Mus musculus: one gene and its partner. Each later gene encodes a partner of the first gene's protein in a complex. Links are inferred from orthologs where the notes say so. Each region holds a gene or a part of one and is shown on either strand. Other genes may lie near its edges. The genes, in order: Slc9a1 and Chp2.

Region 1 (9,103 bases):
GTGAACCAAAATAAACGTTTCTCCTCATGCAGTGATTATATATGATATTTCTGGTATAGTAACCTAGATGAGTAACAGAGTGGGGGAAAGCTAATGAACTCTAAAAGCCACCAGTGAGCCAGGCACATGCACACACGCATGCACACGCACGCTCGCGCGCGCGCACACACAAACACACACACACACACACACACACACACACACACACACACACACACACACCCATCAATCTCTACCTCAGACTCAGAAGATGGAGATAGTATCCTCACTTCACTAACAAGGCAAGGCAAGTCCAGAGAAATGTACCAAAGGGAGCGTCAAGGACAGAGACCAAGGTGTCCACCAGGGCTTTCCTTAGAGCTGGGCTGCATGTGCCGGACTAGGCTGCCTGGGGCTGAGAGGAAAGGTGAACCTCAGGTGAGGAGCTGAATCAAGTCCAGGCCATATGAGCAGCCCAGGCCTCCAAGGCCCCTGCACAACTGGAAGCCCCTACCGCAGGCCTTCCCACGTGCTGGCTGACGTCCCTGAGAGCATCCCACAGTCAGGCAGCTGGTTTTCCCGGGAGGAAAAGGTATCCTTTTCTTTTTGGAGTGGCATCTGGGATAGAGACAGCTTCAAGGTGACCTTTAAGCTGTTTCTTTCCTTTTGAGAAGTAGAAAAGGTAGGTTTGGGTCCTGCTTTAACAGACCACCAGGCAGGGTCATGACTGCTTACATGAAGTGGGCAGAAACAATATCCTGTATCTCTCTGGGCTGTGGTGGTCCACACCTTTGGGAGGCAGAAGCAAGTGGATCTCTGAGTTCAAGGCCAGCCCAGTTTATAAAGCGAGTTCCAGGACAGCCAGAGCTACACAGAGAAACCCTATCTCAAAAAAATAAAAATAAAAATAAAAACAAACAAACAAACAAAAAGCCAACAACAACAATAAAAAACTATCTATCTATCCCTCTATAAACTAAACTTGTTCTAGGGAGGAAATAGCAGCATATACCAAAGACCAAAACTGAAATGTCATAAGATCTAAAGGGACAAAAGAAGCCTTTTTTGTCCCTAATCAGGAGACAAGATGAATACCTGCTTTATAGGAGGCTTCTGGGCCTTGCCAGGCATTCCAGGTCAGGAATATGGGCAAACACCAGGGGTGCTGCCAGTGGTGAGCTGGTTACAGGCGCTCTCCCTGAGTGAGAACATGCACTGCCTGAGAGTCAGGTGAACTGGGACAAAGCAGAATTCATGCGAGAGCCAAACCACAGTACAGGAAGGAGGCAGAGAATGGCCCAACCCCAAAGGGTTCAGGACAACTCTCAATTATTCATTTATTCATACATTTATTTATTATTTACTTATTTGAGACAGGGCCTCGTGTATCTCAGGCTGGCCTCAAACTCACTCTGTAACTGAGGGTGGCCAGCCTTGAGCTTCTGATCTTCCTGCCTCTACCTCCCAAGTCCTAAGCTTACTGACATCAACCGTCCTTTTTTTATGTGGTATATGGAATCAAACCCAGGGCCTCATGCATGGTGGGCAAGCACTCTACCAACTAAGCTACATGCCCAGCTCTGGTTCTCTCAATAATTTAAGTCCCTCTTAAACTACTAATTCTCCTCCCACCAAGAAGAGGAAAGAATCCTCGACTAAAAGAGAGAAACAGTGTCTGGAGAAGGGAGGTGATTTGCCTGAGGTCACCTCCCCAGTCCAGAGGCATCAATTACTCTAGAGCATTAACTCTTGCTTTGTCTCTCCCATGTCAATCTCCACAAGATCCTCCTTTGGATTTTGGCACACAACTAGGATGGGAAAGAAGACTGCACACTGCACTCTCTGTTCTTAGCTGAGGAGTACCGTGCGTGGCAAGGAGCTGCCACAGCAGAAGGGATGGGGGCTCCACCAAACCCCTACCCTCTCTGGGACAATGAGAAAACAGCCAAGACCCTGAAATAAAGTCTCTAGCTCTTGGACAGCAGACAGTGCAGAGTTCACTGCCCCAGCCCTCCAGCCTGTTATCAAGGCACCACCCCGAATCTTCCGACAACCACCAAAAGGAGGCAGCTCAAGAGAAAAGATAGGATAGGCCACACAGAGAAACCCTGACACACACAGACAGACAGACAGACAGAATAAGTCAGATAAACAGATCTGAAACCTTAAGGAAAGACAGACGGTGGACCAGGGCTAAGGAATAGTGAATAGCGTAGCGCTCCAATCTCAGAGAATATAGGAGGTAGGATTCTGCCGTAGGTGGCGGCTCCTCACCCTGCTCTCTCATGTGCAGCAAGCCAACTTTATGCACTGTATGCATCACACTGCTAGCACTCACACACTTTTGAACCTTGTACTTTGCGAATGTCCTCTACCTCTGAACTACACACCAGCCTGCACTTCTCATTTTCTGATAAAGAGGCTCAGAGAATGTGAACCGGTGGGTGGGTGGTGCATTCTACACAGCGACCTCACATCTAACCTTAACTCAAAGGCGCAGGTGGAGAGTGGAGTTTCATGGCTGCCATCTGCACAGCGCTTTGAGGTCCTTCGTCCCCATTCCCTCTACTCTTTAGCCCCAGAACGGCCAGGTGCCAAGGCCCCCATTTTCAGAAGCAGAAAAAACGCCTTTCCAAGCCAGACACACAGGCCTTTGGGATTGCATGGGGGATCAGATTCAGCCTCCCCATTTTACAGAAGGAAAACTGAGGTCCGAGTTTCAAAAGCTTAACCGGGGTTTCCAGAATCGGAGCAACAACAGAAATGTCAGACCTGGAAAGGATCCTGAAGATCAGCAGGCTAAGGAGACATGATTGGTCAAGGTCATGGGGGGAGGGGGGGAGGAGAACTCAGTTTCCTGACTGATATCCTTGCCGGCACCGTCTATGGTATCCAGTGGCCCAGGGTCTGTTGACAAAGCAGGTCAGGGCCAGCCAGCACACATTAGGACAAGAGCTATCAGGTCTGCAGGAACAAAGTTGGGACTTCCCAGAGTGGGGTCTTTCTGGTCATGCTAGTGTACTGACTAACAGCAGACACAGGTCTGCAGTGTGTGTGCCAGCTCCCAGGACTGGGACACCACGGGGCTGAGGGAGGTGTTAATTTACAGGCAGCACTTATGAAGTCTCTCCAGTCTCTCCCTCGCCTCCTACAGACAAATGACATATTATGGTCACTTCAGGGTCTTACAACAAATACAGACACACGGTGTCATGAGTCAATCGATATAGTCAAATAGCAATTCCGATGCTTATTTCACAAGAAAGACCTTCAGGAAGACACTCAGCTGTTCAAGGTCATGCATTTAGGTTTGAATCTGTATCCACGGTTCCCCTTGCTCAGACCTTGATTTTTTTTTCCCCCCCAGGAAGCTGGCTGCCATCAGGGTGTAGGTGCTGATGGCCCAGCTCCATGCCCTAACTCGGCCACTGTAACCACCTCAGCACCAAAGCCCCATACCAGGAAGCCAGCTCCTGGATCTATCAAAACAGAGGTACTGGTTAGTTCCTGCAGCATGCCACAGGGCCAGCCTCACACCAGTTTGGTGTCCTTGGGAAAAGAAGCTGCGAGACTTCCTGCCCAGAGTCTCTAACTCCTCAAAACCCAAATCTCAAGCAAAGAGGGAAGCAGAGAGAGACCCGGTGGCTCCCACTTTCAGTTCGCTGAAAGTGGGCTGGAAAACTTAAGGTAGCTTGAAAAGCCCCCTAGATACCATCTCCAGGAACTTCTGGGCTATGCAGCCTCGGGAGAACCCCACCAATCACCCAGCAGAACAGGGTGCTCAGGCTGGGCAGGAACCCCAACCCTTGGAGAAGGAACAGCATTTTCATGTCATTCTTCCAAAAAGAATATTTTAAAATCTCTTTAGACCCAGCTCTTCTCTATCTCTTTGCCTTCAATGGGTGGTCCCCGTCTCTAGTCAGTTGGGTACAAACCTGAACCAAACCTCAACCTCCTCTACTTTCTTGCCATCCCCAAATGGCTGGCTGTAGCCATTCCTATGAACTGGATAACGGTTGGCATTTCTGGACTGGGACCTGACTCAGGGGCTTCTGACTGGCCTTGGCAGGCAAAGCTGAGAGGTATCACTCTGGGGATGAAGGTAAATAAGTCTCTGGGGATCCCTGTGTTCTACCACACACCTAAGTGCCTTGTACCTAGTTCCTTACTCTACGCAAAATCCTTAGACAGGCCAAGTCCTAAAACACCCTTTCACAAAGAATGTAATAAATCCGTACTGATTCCTGTTGACAGGACAGAAAGGGCCACTTGCTAAAGGATATTCCTGTCTTACACATAGCTAAGCACCTGCCTCCTCTCTAGGTCCCATCCCAGCTGTAGGAGACCAGCCAAGCCTTGGCAGCTTTTCTGAAACCAATATCAGAAGCATCCCATCTCGTGCACGCTCCTGACCCTCCCTCCTGCTACATAATGCCAGCTCACAGGCCAGAGCTGGAGTTTAAGGACCAACAAAAAGGAGGGAGAGGCTGCCCGCCCGCGTTGCAGAAGTGGTTCATTCAGAGCCTGAGAAGCAGAACCTGGTAACAAGTGGGGCAAGAAGCTCACCTATCTGGTGGTGGCAGCAACAGCACCATCATGCACTTACCTATCTTCATGAGGCAGGCCAGGAGAATCCAGAGGGAGATCTCAAAGGGTGTGCGCACGTGAGGGTAGTCAATGTCCAGGACTGGGAAGGCCTTCCGAGATGGCTTACCGCCATGTTCAATGATTAAGTTGGTCAAATTGTGGTCATCTGGGCGATGGAGAGGCTCTGATGGTGCCGTGGTGACATCCCCAATTGAGCGTTCCCGGGGTGGTTCAGAACCTCTGATGGTGCTGGCAGTAGGGCTGTGCTGGAGGCCGTGGCTCCTGAGAACAGGTAGCAGTCCCACCAAGGCAACCACCACCAGCAAGGAGGGGAAGATCCGAGGTGGATGAAATCCCCAGACGCCGGACCACCGAAGCATCATACTGATCCCCCAGCCTAGGAGGCCTCAGCCCTTAGCGAAGTGCGTGTAAGACCTGGGACATAGGTAGCAAGGAGTCCTGCAGATGGGGTGAGACTGGGGCAATCTCTAGGAAAAGTTCATGTTTTAGAGAAGTATTTTCGTTTTCTAGAGATTCACAATCTCAAAGTCCAAACTGCAAAAAGGGGTTAAGTACCTTGGAGGGACTAAGGAGGAAACCGAAAGGATCTAGAACTTCAGGCTGAGAGAAGGAAATCGGGGAAACTGCGTCCTGAAGAGAGGGGAAGGGCCGGATAGGCTGGACCACGGGCAAGGGAAAGGAGGAAGAAGGATAGGACCTTTGGCTAAGGAAAATCACCAGGGTGCTGGAACTCGGCTAAAGGGGAGGGGTAAGGAGCCTGGGCTAAAGACGGAAAAGGGTGAGACCCACTCCGCAGGGAAAGGCGAGAGAAGGCTGGAAGGCCAGCCTGGGATAAAGGAGTATAGCAGGAAAAAGGCTGGGGCTTTCCCACCCACAGGAGAGCCAGGGTCCAGCCGCGCCGGGCTGAGATTCCGGGGAAATGGAGGGAGGCGGAAGACAGAGGCAGACGGCCTGGCGGGAAGGTGCCTCGGCGCAGGCTGGAGGCGGCTCGCAGTGAGCCAGCAGCAACACACCCCTCCTTAAGACCCCGGTGCAGAGCTGTGTTCCACCCCGGCCCAGCGGCAGCTCCTTCGGTCAGCTCCAGCTCCACTTCCAGACCTGACACAGCCCCGGGTCCCGCGGTAGCGGACTGATGCCTCGCTGAGCACAGCGCAGCCATTTATAGGCACCAACGAGTAGCAGGCGCAGCAAGCTAGAGAGACCTGTCAGCGCCCGCGCGGTGCAGCGGCCCCTGTCGCCCAGGGAAGGAAGTGTCACGTAAGAAGAGGAAGCCGAGACCTAAATTGGAAAAAAAAAAAAAAAAAAAAAAGTACAATCTAACACGAGTGACATACTGTACTATCTACAAAGTGTTTTCTTGTTAGCATGTGACTTTGAACAAGTTATTTAGCCTCTCTGTTTCACAGCTTTCTCAACTGTAAGGTGGAGATGGATAGCTATAACAAAAGGATAACAAGATGGTTAAATGAGGTGATCTATGAGAAATGTTTAGAATGAAAGGGATGGGATCGTGGTTCAGAGGTAGAGTGCTTGTCTACCATTGGTTCCTATGCCCAGTGTCACAAAATAAAGTTAAATGAATGAATGAAATGGGCTAGAAATCTGCACTCTGTATGTTCCCAAGCATTGACCTGTGCTGAGGACCGTGTGAGCTGAAATCCGTTCCTGCATCCCAGCCACAGGTGCTTTGATGGCAATGTATTGGCTTCCCTTGACTGTGGCGGCATAACCCCAGCCTCCCTGTATCCGTCTTTAGGTCCAAATTTCCCCCTTTAAAAGGACTCCAAGCAAATTGAATTAGGAATTGGCCCTAATGGCGTACCTTACCTTGATCAACTTCAAAAACCCAATCTGAGCCACGAACGGTGGGAAACTGTAATTCCAGCATTTGGGAAACTAAAGAAAGAGGAATTTTTAACTCAACGTCAGCTTGTGTAACAAAGTGAGTTCTAGACCAGGCTGAGGTCAGTAGGGAGACCCTGTCTCAAAGAGATTTAAAACAACAACAACAACAACAAAACCCCTCATCTAAATAAAGCCACATTCTCGGGCACTGAGGGGTGGGCAGGGGTAGGACTTCAGCTTCTTTTGAAAGGGCGTGTTTCAACTCATAACAGTAGTGAAACAACCAAAAAGTAAGAGGCTGGGTATTGTTTTTGTCTGTCTGTCTATCTGTCTGTCTGTCTGTCTGGTTTAAAGAGAAAAGAAGGATTTTTATTATCTGCAGACAGAAAACAGCTTCCAGAAGGGGCATGTTCTGTTTTGTGCGAAAGGCTACATTCTTACAATGTAGCCCAGCTGGCTTCTAATTTTTGGCAATCCTCCTGCCTCTCCCTCTCAAGTGGGATTACTGGTATGCACCACCACACACAGCCGGAACTGGAATTTGAATGAATGATATTGATTAGAGTTCAGAAAGGTCGAGACATTGTGTCTACATGGTGCAATCATGAGAACTCTTCCCCCCCCCCTCAGAAGTAGGATCTGAACACAGAACCCTGTGCGTGCTAGGTAAGCACACCACCGCTGAGCCCAGACTGAGAAGTTTTTAAATCATTTCAAATGCCATCCTGTTTCATGGAAAGGTTAATTAAAGCCGAGAAATCCAAGGTGATTTGTTCAAGGGGCTGTTAGAGGGGTTTGTTTTCGTTTGACAAATCTCTTCAGAACTTTCTTGACAAGGATTTCTGCTGAGCTAGGGACATAGGCATGAGGCGTGGAGTGGGACTGTGAATGGTGATTAGGGTCAGCTCCAGAGCTCAAGGTGAGCTTCCCAGCTCTGGGAGTGTCCTGTTCCTTCACTGGGTGGTCCATACCCAGTTACTCAGAGGCAGTTATGTTGTGGGAGTTCACCATGCCTTCAGAGTTTGTGTACTTTCCATCTGGAAAAAGGTGTTTTCAAGTAACAAGAGTGTGATATGACAACCAAGTGTAAAACATTTCTGACTTTTCTGAACCTTGCCACGTTTTTCCAGGAATAGATTCAGACACTGGGAGGTGACCGGAAAAAAAAAAAAAGAAAAAGAAAGAAAGAAAGAAAGAAAGAAAGAAAGAAAGAAAGAAAGAAAGAAAGAAAGAAAGAAAGAAAGAAGAAAAGAAAAGAAAAGAAAGAAAGAAAGAAAGAAAGAAAGAAAGAAAGAAAGAAAGAAAGAGAAGATTCAGAAACAGACCTGGAAAGATGCTTTAGTGGCTAAGGACCATCATTCAAATAAATCCCCAGCTCTCAGAGTTAAAAGAAAAGAACAAGAAAGCCAAGTATGCCCACATACCTTTAACCCTCGTACCTTGGAGAATGGAGACAAAAAAGATTGCTAGGGCTTGCTGCCCACCAGCCTGGCTCCAGGTTCAGTGAGAGACTCCATCTTGAGAGACTAAGGAAAGGTCACAGGAAACATGATTCCTAGTTTGGCGTCTGCCTGTACAAGGCTGATGCACTTGCACACAACACAACACACTATGCATATACCATACCCATACACACATGAGGGGTGTGTTATGGGATTCGGAGACTATCATGGAGCAGCTGTCCTAGCATGAGCAACACCCCGGGTTCGATCCCCAACACTTTAAGACAATACTGAGAACAGATGAAAGACAAACAGTAGCTCCAATGGAGGTGAGAAAAGGGAATGACTTCTAGGTCACAGATCAGAACAAGCCAGGCTTGCCATCTGGCATTGAGATGAGACTTCTCAGGAGACTGAGTCAAGAGGATGGAAAGTTCAAACCCTGCAAGGTCTACAGAGTGAGCTCAAAGCTAGCATGATCAACTTTGGAGAGCTTGCCTCAAAATAAAATGATATAAAAGATAATGCAGGACTGGGCTCAGAGGTTAAGAGCACTGACTGCTCTTCCAGAGGTCCTGAGTTCAATTCCCAGCAACCACATGGATGGCTCACAACCATCTGTAATGGGATCTGATGCCCTCTTCTGGTGAGTCTAAAGACAGCGACAGTGTACTCATATACATAAAATAAATACATAAATCTATAATATTAATAATAATGATAATAAAATAAGGTGGTGGGAACATAGCTCAGCACTGGAGTGCTTGCCTAGCATATAAAATGCACTGTGTTCCGTTCTCAATAACTAAAACCCCAGAGGATCAGAATCAACAATGCCTTGTGGAGTCACTGAGAACTGAAAACCAACTGCTATGCCGTATAACAGAGAATCAGGATGCAGTAGTGATTATTCCCATTCTCACTTGACAGATAAAGCACCAAGGTTTGGATTCTTGAAGCTGTTTGCCTAAGATCACATAGCTGTGGGGAAGCAGTGCTAACATTTAAAGCCAGGCTTTAATCTACACTGCAGACTCAGTACGGATTACTAAAGGGAGAGGAAGGGCAGGGCTAGTGTAGGCACTTTACTCCCAAGCCTTGAGGCCACTGGCAGTCACTGGTGTTCCCCACCCCCACCCCACCCCCTCCAGCCCTCAGTAAGTCTTTGGTGCCAGCTCCAGAGAGAACAGATCGGAGAAGAACCAGGAAATACCACCCCTGGTGGAGGT
Region 2 (9,277 bases), on another chromosome or scaffold:
CATTTGTTTTTCAACTGGAACTTCATCAAGCGTGGCTGGTGTGGTGGTTTGAATACGCTTGGCCCATGGGAAAGGGCACTGTTTTGGAGGAGGTGTGGCCTTGTTAGATGAAGTGTGTCACTGTGTAGCCAGGCTTTGAGGGCTCCTATGCTCAAGCTCTGCTCACTGTGGAATGAAACCTTCCTCCTGGCTGTCTGCAGAAGACACTCTCCTGGCTGCCTTTTGATTAAGACTGAGAGCACTCAGTTCCTTCTAGTGTTGCCATGCTTCCTACCATGATGATAATGGATTGAACCTCTGAAAAATTAAGCCAGCCTCAATTAGATGTTGTCCTTTATAAACGTTATCTTGATCATGGCATTTCTTCACAGCAATGAAACCCTAACTAAGACAGCTAGCAACTTAAAAAATAAATTAAAATTGAGGGCTGAAGAGATGGCTCAGTGGTTAAGAGCATTAGCTGTTCTTCTAGAGAACCTGGGTTCAATTCCCAGCACTCACATGGCAGCTCACAATTGTCTGTCCAGTTCCAGGGTATCTGGCACCCTCACACAGGCAAAATACTAATGCACATAAAATAAATAAATCTTAAACAAAAAATTAAAATTGTATGAGTGTGTGTGTAAAGGCACTGTATACATGCAGAATTCAGAGAAATAATTCCAGGAGTTGGTTTTTGTCTACTACCATGTGCCTCCTGGTGTCCAAACACAGGTCTTCAGGCTTGACAGACAGGGCCTTTAACTGTTAAGCCATCTTGCCTGCCAAAGTTAGCAAACTTCAAAGTAAAAGAAAAAAAAAAAAACCTTCAGCTGAGGACGTAGCTCAGTGGTAGGACATAGACCATTTACTCATGAACAAGGCTCTAGTTTCCATCCCCAGTAACACACACACACACACACACACACACACACACAGAAGCACATATAATAGGTTCTTCAGAAATATTCCCTAAACAACTGGACAGATGTAGGCATGCAGTGTGGAGTTGGTATAAACTCCACTTGCATGCATGAAGACCTCCTGGCACAGGGTCCCCCTGGGGATGGATGTGCATATGGGCTTGTCACTGTACTAGAATGACTTATTTGAACATAGTGTTGACTCAGAGACAAGGCTGGCAACCCCTTTCTTACCCTGCTAGAGGTTACTACTGCATAGGATCAGGGGCTCCTTTCTTCCTGGGCTCAGTCTAATTCCCAGCTCTGGCCTTGAGTGTGGCTGGGTTTTGTGGGGGAGGAGGATAGCTTCCCACATTCTTTAGTCCTTGGGGACATCTGAAAAGGAATCTGGTGTCCTTCCTGCCAGTTATTTAGTCTGAAAGTGAAGCAAGCATTCTTTAGATCAATACTTTCAAGTCTCTTTGGGGTTGAGTCTCTGTCCCAGGCTGGAGACTAATAGACTGTTTCTCTCTCCCAAATGGTTATTAACCCTTGTAGATAGGATGATGTAGGGTAGTTTCAAAACTAAATACCTGTTTGTAGCAGCATTGAGGAATGAACCTAGGGCAACAGGCTTGTTGGTAAGCTCTCTTCTATTCCAGAGCTACATTTTCCACACAGCTTTCACCTTACACAAGAAAATTAAATAAAGTCTGTGTGCGTATGTGCATGTGTGTATGTGTGCATGTGTATGTGTGTATGTGTGTGTGCATGCACACATGTATGGCCATGCTCAGCATCTTCAGGAATCTTAGAGGGTCAAACTCAGCCTTCACTTTTACACAGCAAGAACTCTTACCCACTGAGCTGCCCCTCCTCACCCCAGTTCCCTACTTTTAAATGTTGGAACAGTTTCTAAGTTGCCCAGTCTAGCCTTGAGTCCATTTTGTAGAACAGGAAGGCCTTGAACTTGTGATCCCCCTGCTCCAGCTCCCTGAGTGGTCTAGGTTGGGTCAATGGCTTTATGAGAACACGGAAGCACCAAGCAGGGATACACTGTTGGACTTGTCATGTGATGCCCTGAGCTATGTGGGACTCTGCAGAGACACTCAGACAAAGCCACCTGATCCTTACCTTCCTAGTCCAGAGATGAATGACAATTTTGTCTTATCTTTTTTTTCCTTCTTCCTTTTATATTTTTAAAGTTAGGAACTCACTGTTACCCAGGCTGCCAGAACTCACTATGTAGCACAGGATAGCCCTTAACTTTGGATAGTGTTCTCTTGCCTCAGCTTTTCATGTGCCAGGACTACAGGTATGCACCGCTTCACATTAGCTGATTGATCTATCTTTGTGGCAGGTTCTCACTGTGTATGCATGGTTGGCTTAGAACTGGAAGTATAAAACAGGCTGGCTTTGAACTCACAGAGATCTACCTGTCTTTGCCTCTGTCTGCTAGAATTAAAGGCACGGGATACCATATGCCACCTAAATTTTAGTCTTTATTCTTTTTAATGTTTTTACATGTGGGTGTTTTGCCTGCATGTATGTCTGTGTACCACAAGCATGCCTGGATCCCCCAAGGCCAGAAGAAGGCATTGGGTCCCCGATGCCTAAAGCTACAAACAGCTGTGAACTATCATTTGGGTGCTGGGAACTGAACATGGGTCCTCTGAAAGAGCAGGTGTTCTATACTGCTGAGTCATCTCTTCAGCCCTAAGCTTTTTTTCCTTTATTAATGACTGTGGTGTTCCCATATAGCTATAGGAAATAGGGCAGCGTGCTTTTCAGCAGTTCACAATACACGACAGTGTGAAGTCTAGCAAGGACTCACAGTGCACATAGCAAAGCCCCAGGTGCAGGGACAGGCCTTGCTACTGTCTTTAGTATTTTTTTTTAAATATAATCTTAATTAGAATTGATGTCCATTGAAACTTGTGCTGATTTTGAACAGTGTACTATATGATGACTAACAAGTTGTTATTTTAGAAAATTCGAGACGACAAAAAAGGAAGCGGAAGAAAGAAGTGCTGGGGCAATCATTTGTGATAAAGAAATACTGTAGAATTATTTGTTTGTTCTCTGCAGTATTTTATAGATGCAACAAGGGTCCAGTTAGTCATTATCTATGTTTCTCACACTAGAGATCAAGTAATAAGTAAGATGCTTTGAAACATTCAATGTATGCAATACTGTTACTGTTGAAATCTGTCAAGCGTGCAAAGAAGTAAAAAACCGACTCTGTTGTTCTGTCGGTACCGTTGTTCTGTTGGTTCGGCTGTTCTGTTGGTAGCGCTGTTCTGTTGGTACTGTTGCATGAGACGCTGCCTTTTGCATTTGTTTGCCTCTCACTGCGTGTGACATCCTGCATCCAGCTTGCCTCACACTCTTCTTTCACTAATCACAGAAATGGAGGAGGAGGCTTCATTATTAATATCATCCTAATAGATAATAAACGGACCCAAGGTAGAAGGGTTAAAGGGCACCCCTGCCTGTGTTCATGTGGGACAATGTTAGCAGGGGGCTGTCTAGGTATCAGCACAGTGCCCCATCCTACGCCTGAGGGTACCCTACCACGGATGTTGTTGTTCAAAACAAACATCGAGGAGAATCAATCTGGAATTCGGCCTCGATTCTTCTAAAAATACTTTATTGAATGTCACTAAATTCCTGTCCACAGTTCAGGTTGTGTTCAGTTTGCTCTTATAGGGCCCCTAAAATTGCAAATTCTCCGAGTTGAGTTCTAGCATACTGGTTCTGGGTGTTACATGGACTATATGATCTAGATAGACATCGGTTCTTCATGACCTGCCCGTGCTTCTCCATTTCTGTCTCAGCACATCCTCTTCAGATGCTTATGTTCTGATAGAATGCTGTGTGAATGTGCCAACTGTGAGGTGACTGTTTAGGATTTTAAGCCAGGTCACAGACTTCAGCTTGTTGGTGTTGGGAACTGGTGAGAAGCCTAAGAGGTTACACACCTGTTGTCACATTGGGAGAGTGAACATGGGTTGTTTGGGCACTGTGGCAAATAGCCTCTCGTTCAAGATATCAAAATGTCTAGGAATTTCCCCAGCCCACTGCAATGTGTCAAACCCTGTGGAAAATAGCCTCTTGTTCGAGATATCAAAATGTCTAGGAATTTCCCCAGCCCACTGCAATGTGTCAAACCCAGGGCCTTGGGCTTGTATGGCAGGTGATGCCATCCCACTCAGTCGCAAAGTTAGCCCCAGAATTTCTGATTTCTCAGAGAATCCATGAGTCTGGATTTTGGATAAATCTTAACACATTTGTTTGTTTTGAGAAACAAGGAAGCCTAGGTTGGCTTAGGACACATGTAGCTCAGAGTAGCCACCCACTCATGGCTAATTTCCTGCGTCAACCTCCTCAGTGCTGGTGTCCGGAGGCTTCGTGAATCTTAAGAATTAGTTCAGCCACAGGATAATCCCACATAGACAAAACATCGTGGCCTTATGTAGAATAAGGAGAGCGTAATTGGGATTCCCGTCTATGCTGTACCACTTAGTGGAGCCCGGACTTCCCCATCCCCATCCCTCCTGCCCAGGGAGCCGTCCCTGCTCCCTGCCCCCTGCCCCCTCTTCTGCTCCCCAGAAGAAAATCTTCATCCTGCCCAGTAGGATTTAAACTGAGTGAGCAGCACTGGCTGAGCGGATCTGGGAGGTCCTGTGGAGGAGGTGGGTTTGTGTCTAGGGAGTGTTGGGAGAAAACTGGCTCACACAGGCGTGAGGAAGGCGGGGCCCTGGCATCGCTGCCCAGCCTCTGGCGACCTCAATCTCCAGGCTGAAACGACCAGTTGTTTTCAGCCTTCCCCTCTGACCTGCTACTCCGGGCATTGTTTTCTGTTCTCCCAGAGTTGTAGGTGGCAGGCGAAAAACGCCTAGATTCTGGCTGCTCTCCAGGACCGTGACCTTCGGCTCTGGGGCCACTGGGCAGCCGCGCCTTTTGGACGGGAGGAGAGAGGAAGCAGAGGACTCCTGGTTCCCCTGGCTGCTCGTCTCCTCCTGTGGCTCTGCCATGGGCTCACGAAGCTCTCATATCGCGCTCATTCCAGACGTGGAGCACATTCGCAGAGAGACAGGCTGTGAGTATGGGTGCTGGTAGTGGTGGTGGTCAGCGCAGCCCAGTAGTTCGTGGGCGGGCACAGGAGGAGGTTTAGTGTAGTGTAGTGTTTTGTGTGTGTGTGTGTGTGTGTGTGTGTGTGTGTCACTAGAATGTAGCTTGAGTATTCCAGATCGCAGAGACTTAGAGGGTTTGGAATCTGAGTCTGGGAATTTGCGCCTCTGGAGCTGGGAAACCGAGACCCAGTGTCCGGGTTCGCAAGGTACCTGAGAGCCAAGTTTGAGGCAGTCCGGGTTGATGGACCAGATTCACTCAGGTGTCTTTGAGCTCGGCTGGAGGCTGAAGGCTGAGCTGAGGACAGATGCAGGGGGAGCTATATCCTGGGCTCTGGGAACTTCCTGGGTTCTCCAACCTAGTGTTTTCTGGAGCCAAGCTTTCTCCAGCAGAGTCGACTCCACACACCTGGTCTTGCAAAGGGTAACTCTCTCCCTTTATCCTCGCCCGTGAGCTTCTTCCTTGTGGTTGAAGCTGCGCTGAGGGTGGAGAGATAGAAGACCCTTTTATGTTGGGGGGGGGGGGCGTTAAAGATGAGAATAAGCCCTCTTGTTCCTCGCCCACGCCCCCTGGCCGGGGTTTCTACAGCGCACCCCAAGTCACAAGGGGCCTGGCAATAAAGACCTGTGAGTCCTCTGCGGACTCATCCCCACCTCCTCTCCGCAGTCTCGCAAGCCAGCCTGCTCCGCCTCTACCACCGGTTCCAAGCCCTGGACAGGGATGAAAAGGGCTTCCTAAGGTGAGCAGAACAGATCTTAAGATCTTTTGCCTCTGTTTTTTCTGGCCCCATCCCCTCACTGACACCTCCATCTGCCTCCTTTTTTGCCTTCCTTGCTTTGTCTTCACAGCCGCCTAGACCTCCAGCAGATCGGAGCACTGGCTGTGAATCCACTGGGTGACCGCATTATAGACAGCTTCTTCCCCAACGGGTGAAGTCTCTACTGGCTGACCGGAGGGGAAATGGACGTGGGTGGGAGGTGAGGCTTCAGATGGTGGCAGCTTGGGTGACCATTGACCTTCTCCATCCCTGTCCCTCTAGAAGTCAGAGACTGTATTTCGCAGGCTTTGCCAGGGTCCTGGCTTATTTTCGACCTATAGATGAAGAAGATGCCACACTCCGAGACCCCAAGCAACCTGAACCCCTAAACAGCAGAATGAACAAACTGCGCTGTGAGTGTGTGCGCCCCCCCTCGTCCCCCCCCCCCGTCCCCCCCCCCCCCCCCCCCGTGAGCCTGGTGAGGACTTATTGTCAGCTCAGGAGCCTCACTTCCTTTTCCCTCTCCTTTCCCAGTTGCATTTCAGCTCTATGATCTGGATCGGGATGGGAAGATCTCCAGGAATGAAATGCTACAGGTCAGAAGACCATGGCTGCATCAGATGTGATGTGGGCAGGGCAGGATGGTTAAATGGAGGTGTGTGTGTGTGTGTGTGTGTGTGTGTGTGTGTGTGTGTGTGTGTATGATGACTGGGGTTGCAAATGATTGTGTGTTAGGTAAGACCTGAGATGGGCTGGGGTTGGGTTAGTTAGGACAAGGGGTGGGGAGGAAATAGGTAAGAGACTGGGAATAGAGCTCAGATTCCCAACTTGGGAGTAATGCCGCCTCTTGCCAGTATCTGAGATACTTAGTTGTCATTACCGGGAAGAGATCACCCAATCGATTTTTACCAGGAATGGGCCAGCAATACTGCTATACACACCCAAACACCTAGGACAGCCTTCCACATCAAGGACTTATCTAGGTCCAAATGTCATTAGTGCCAAGACTCTGGGATAGATGATAAAGTTAGGGTGGAGAGTAAGGTGTTGTAGAGTGGAGGATGGGTGTCGATTGGGCTATACAACTAGACAGTGACACAGTGCCAGGCATTTACTACAGGCTGTAGGGGAAATTGAGTTTGATGGTGAAAAGTGCGTGAGAAAAAAATTGGTTATAACTTACGGGATGAGGTGGGCAAGGCTGGGGCTGGAGGAGCAGCCTCTGTGGCTCTTCTCTCTGACTGCCTCTTCTCTCCCCTCCCAGGTTCTCCGCCTCATGGTTGGGGTCCAGGTGACGGATGAGCAGCTGGAGAGCATCACAGACCGTACAGTGCAGGAAGCTGATGAGGACGGGGATGGGGCTGTGTCCTTCCTGGAGTTCACCAAGGTTAGGAGGGGTTGAGATCAGGAGTGCCTGGGACAGAAGGGTAGGGAAATACAATTAACTGGAGGATGGGAGAGACCGGGGAGAGGTGCATTCTGGGAGATGCTAGGACTCCAGGGGAGGGGTTGAGATTCAAGCCTCTTGTCTTGACCTCGCCCATCTCTCCCCAGTCCTTAGAGAAGATGAACATCGAACAAAAAATGAGCATCCGGATCCTGAAGTGACCCCTGTGTCTGACTCACGTAGACGTCTGTGGGCTTGGGATTTACCTACCTGGGTCCCCTGGAGGCAGGATCCCACAAGCCATATTCTACTTTGAAACTTTGCTTAGGGCTAGGAAAGGAAGTTGGAAGAATGTGTGCTGAAGTCTCATTTGCTCTCAGATTTGTGAATCACTCAGTGATTTGGTTGCAAGTGGCTGAAAGGCCAACCCAAAGTGACCTGATTAAAAAAAAAAAACGTGAGAAGAGTGACACACGCCTGTGACTAGACAGCCTGGAAGTAGTTGCCTTTAGGGACAGCTGGATCCAAGGACAAGCATGGTGTCACCAGAATTGAGTTTTGTCACCTGGGGTTCTCAGCTTGGCTGCCTCCTTGCATTGGGATCATTTTTTGGGGGTACAAAGGGCCGACAGCTATCCAGATTAACATCTGCTTAGCACACTAACCCAGAGGAAGAGTTGTCTTACTCCAGAAATGCCAACCAAGCAGCATCATTGACCCAGCTGGGTCTTTTCTCTATCTCCAGGGGAATGGAACATCCAAAAAAGCTATGCCTGTGTCATATAATAATTCCAAAACCTTGAAATAATGCCTGAAGTCTTAGCATAGAGTGAGAGGTGGTTGCCTTAAGGAAAATGAAGTAATGTTATCAGAAAAATGTGTGTGTATGTGTGTGTGTGTTTATGTTGGTTTTGTTCGGGCAACGTGAATGATGCATCTCTTTGCTACTTGGTTGAGCAAATTAAGGGAATCTTGAAATATGGCCTCTTGAATGGGTTTTCTCTGATCCCCTTGATGAAAGATAATATGATGGGGTTGGTGGCTGGTGGGAGGATGGGGTACAGTAATTTAAACCATACTTATTTTCCTAAAGTATATGGGTACTCCAAGGTTTGCAGAATAATTCGTTGTGCTCATGGTAAGAAGTTCAAACATTGTCAGACTGCAGAAAAGAGTATACAAGTCACTTTGAGGCAGAATAGAAGCACATACACAGACACAAGATATAGAGATAGTGATGTGATATATATATGTATATATATATATATATATATATATATATATATATATATATATATATATCAAGCTGTGGAATTTTCCTACTCAAAGACTATTGCTTTTATTTAGAGATCTTTCAAATAACAATGTAAAAATTGGGGCTAGAGAGATGGATCAGCCTTTAAGAGCACTCACTGCTCTTTCAGAGGACCCAAGGTCAGTTTCTAGTACCCACATTGGATGGCTCAGAACAACTTGTTACTCAAGTTTCAGGGAATCTGATGCCCTTTTCTGGTCTTCAAAGATATTGCATGTATGTTGTAAATACAGGCAAGCGACCACAAACATATAAGTAAAAACTTTTAAAAAGTTAAAATAGCAACAAAATATGCTTGTGGTGGTTTGAATATGCTTGGCCCAGTGTGTGGCACTATTAGGAGGTATGGCCTTGTTGGAGTAGGTGTGGCCTTGTTAAAGGGAGTATGTCACTGTGGGGGGTGGGGGGTGGGGGGGAGGCTTTGAGCCCCTCCTCCTGGCCACATGGAGGCCAGTCTTCTGTTTGCCTTTGGAACAAAATGTAGAACTCTCAGCTTCTACTGCACCACGCCTGCCTAGTTGATGTCATGTTCCCGCCTTGATGATTATGGACTGAACCTCTGAACTTGTAAGCCAGCCTCAATTAAATATTGTCTCTTACAAGAGTTGCCTTGGTCATGGTGTCTGTTCACAGCAATAGAAATCTAAGACAATGCTTAAAGTTTGAGCCTTTCATTATTGTTTACTCTTCCCCAGATACTCCTGGGAGACTATAAACATTTGCTTATGGTTTTACATGCCATATGGTAAATATTTGTCAACTTCCTGTGTAATGCCTGGGACTTAAGGTTTTACATGATCAGC

What was found.
Region 2: the proteins of Slc9a1 (region 1) and Chp2 are in contact, whole or in part, in a crystal structure (PDB 2BEC), measured with the Homo sapiens proteins. The link is inferred for Mus musculus from reciprocal best matches to the Homo sapiens genes SLC9A1 and CHP2. Residues at the interface, in NP_003038.2 of Homo sapiens: Ser517, Ile518, Asn519, Glu520, Ile522, His523, Thr524, Gln525, Phe526, Leu527, Asp528, His529, Leu530, Leu531, Thr532, Gly533, Ile534, Glu535, Asp536, Ile537, Cys538, Gly539, His540; in NP_071380.1 of Homo sapiens: Arg30, Arg34, Leu38, Leu51, Ile54, Ala56, Leu57, Asn60, Pro61, Leu62, Ile66, Phe70, Phe83, Leu87, Phe90, Tyr118, Ala119, Leu122, Tyr123, Met136, Val139, Leu140, Met143, Ile156, Arg159, Thr160, Glu163, Ala164, Phe177, Ser180.

Annotation. Positions count from the first base shown.
Region 1 is NC_000070.6:133,366,390-133,375,492, reverse strand, and holds the start of Slc9a1 (sodium/hydrogen exchanger 1), read right to left. Parts: upstream 5,759-9,103; 5' UTR 4,950-5,758; coding exon 4,586-4,949; intron 1-4,585. UniProt on the Homo sapiens protein: Electroneutral Na(+) /H(+) antiporter that extrudes Na(+) in exchange for external protons driven by the inward sodium ion chemical gradient, protecting cells from acidification that occurs from metabolism.
Region 2 is NC_000073.6:122,214,796-122,224,072, forward strand, and holds Chp2 (calcineurin B homologous protein 2), read left to right. Parts: upstream 1-4,700; 5' UTR 4,701-4,916; coding exon 4,917-4,983; intron 4,984-5,681; coding exon 5,682-5,754; intron 5,755-5,863; coding exon 5,864-5,944; intron 5,945-6,054; coding exon 6,055-6,185; intron 6,186-6,306; coding exon 6,307-6,368; intron 6,369-6,955; exon of another isoform or gene 6,956-7,036; coding exon 7,037-7,159; intron 7,160-7,326; coding exon 7,327-7,380; 3' UTR 7,381-7,744; downstream 7,745-9,277. UniProt on the Homo sapiens protein: Functions as an integral cofactor in cell pH regulation by controlling plasma membrane-type Na(+)/H(+) exchange activity.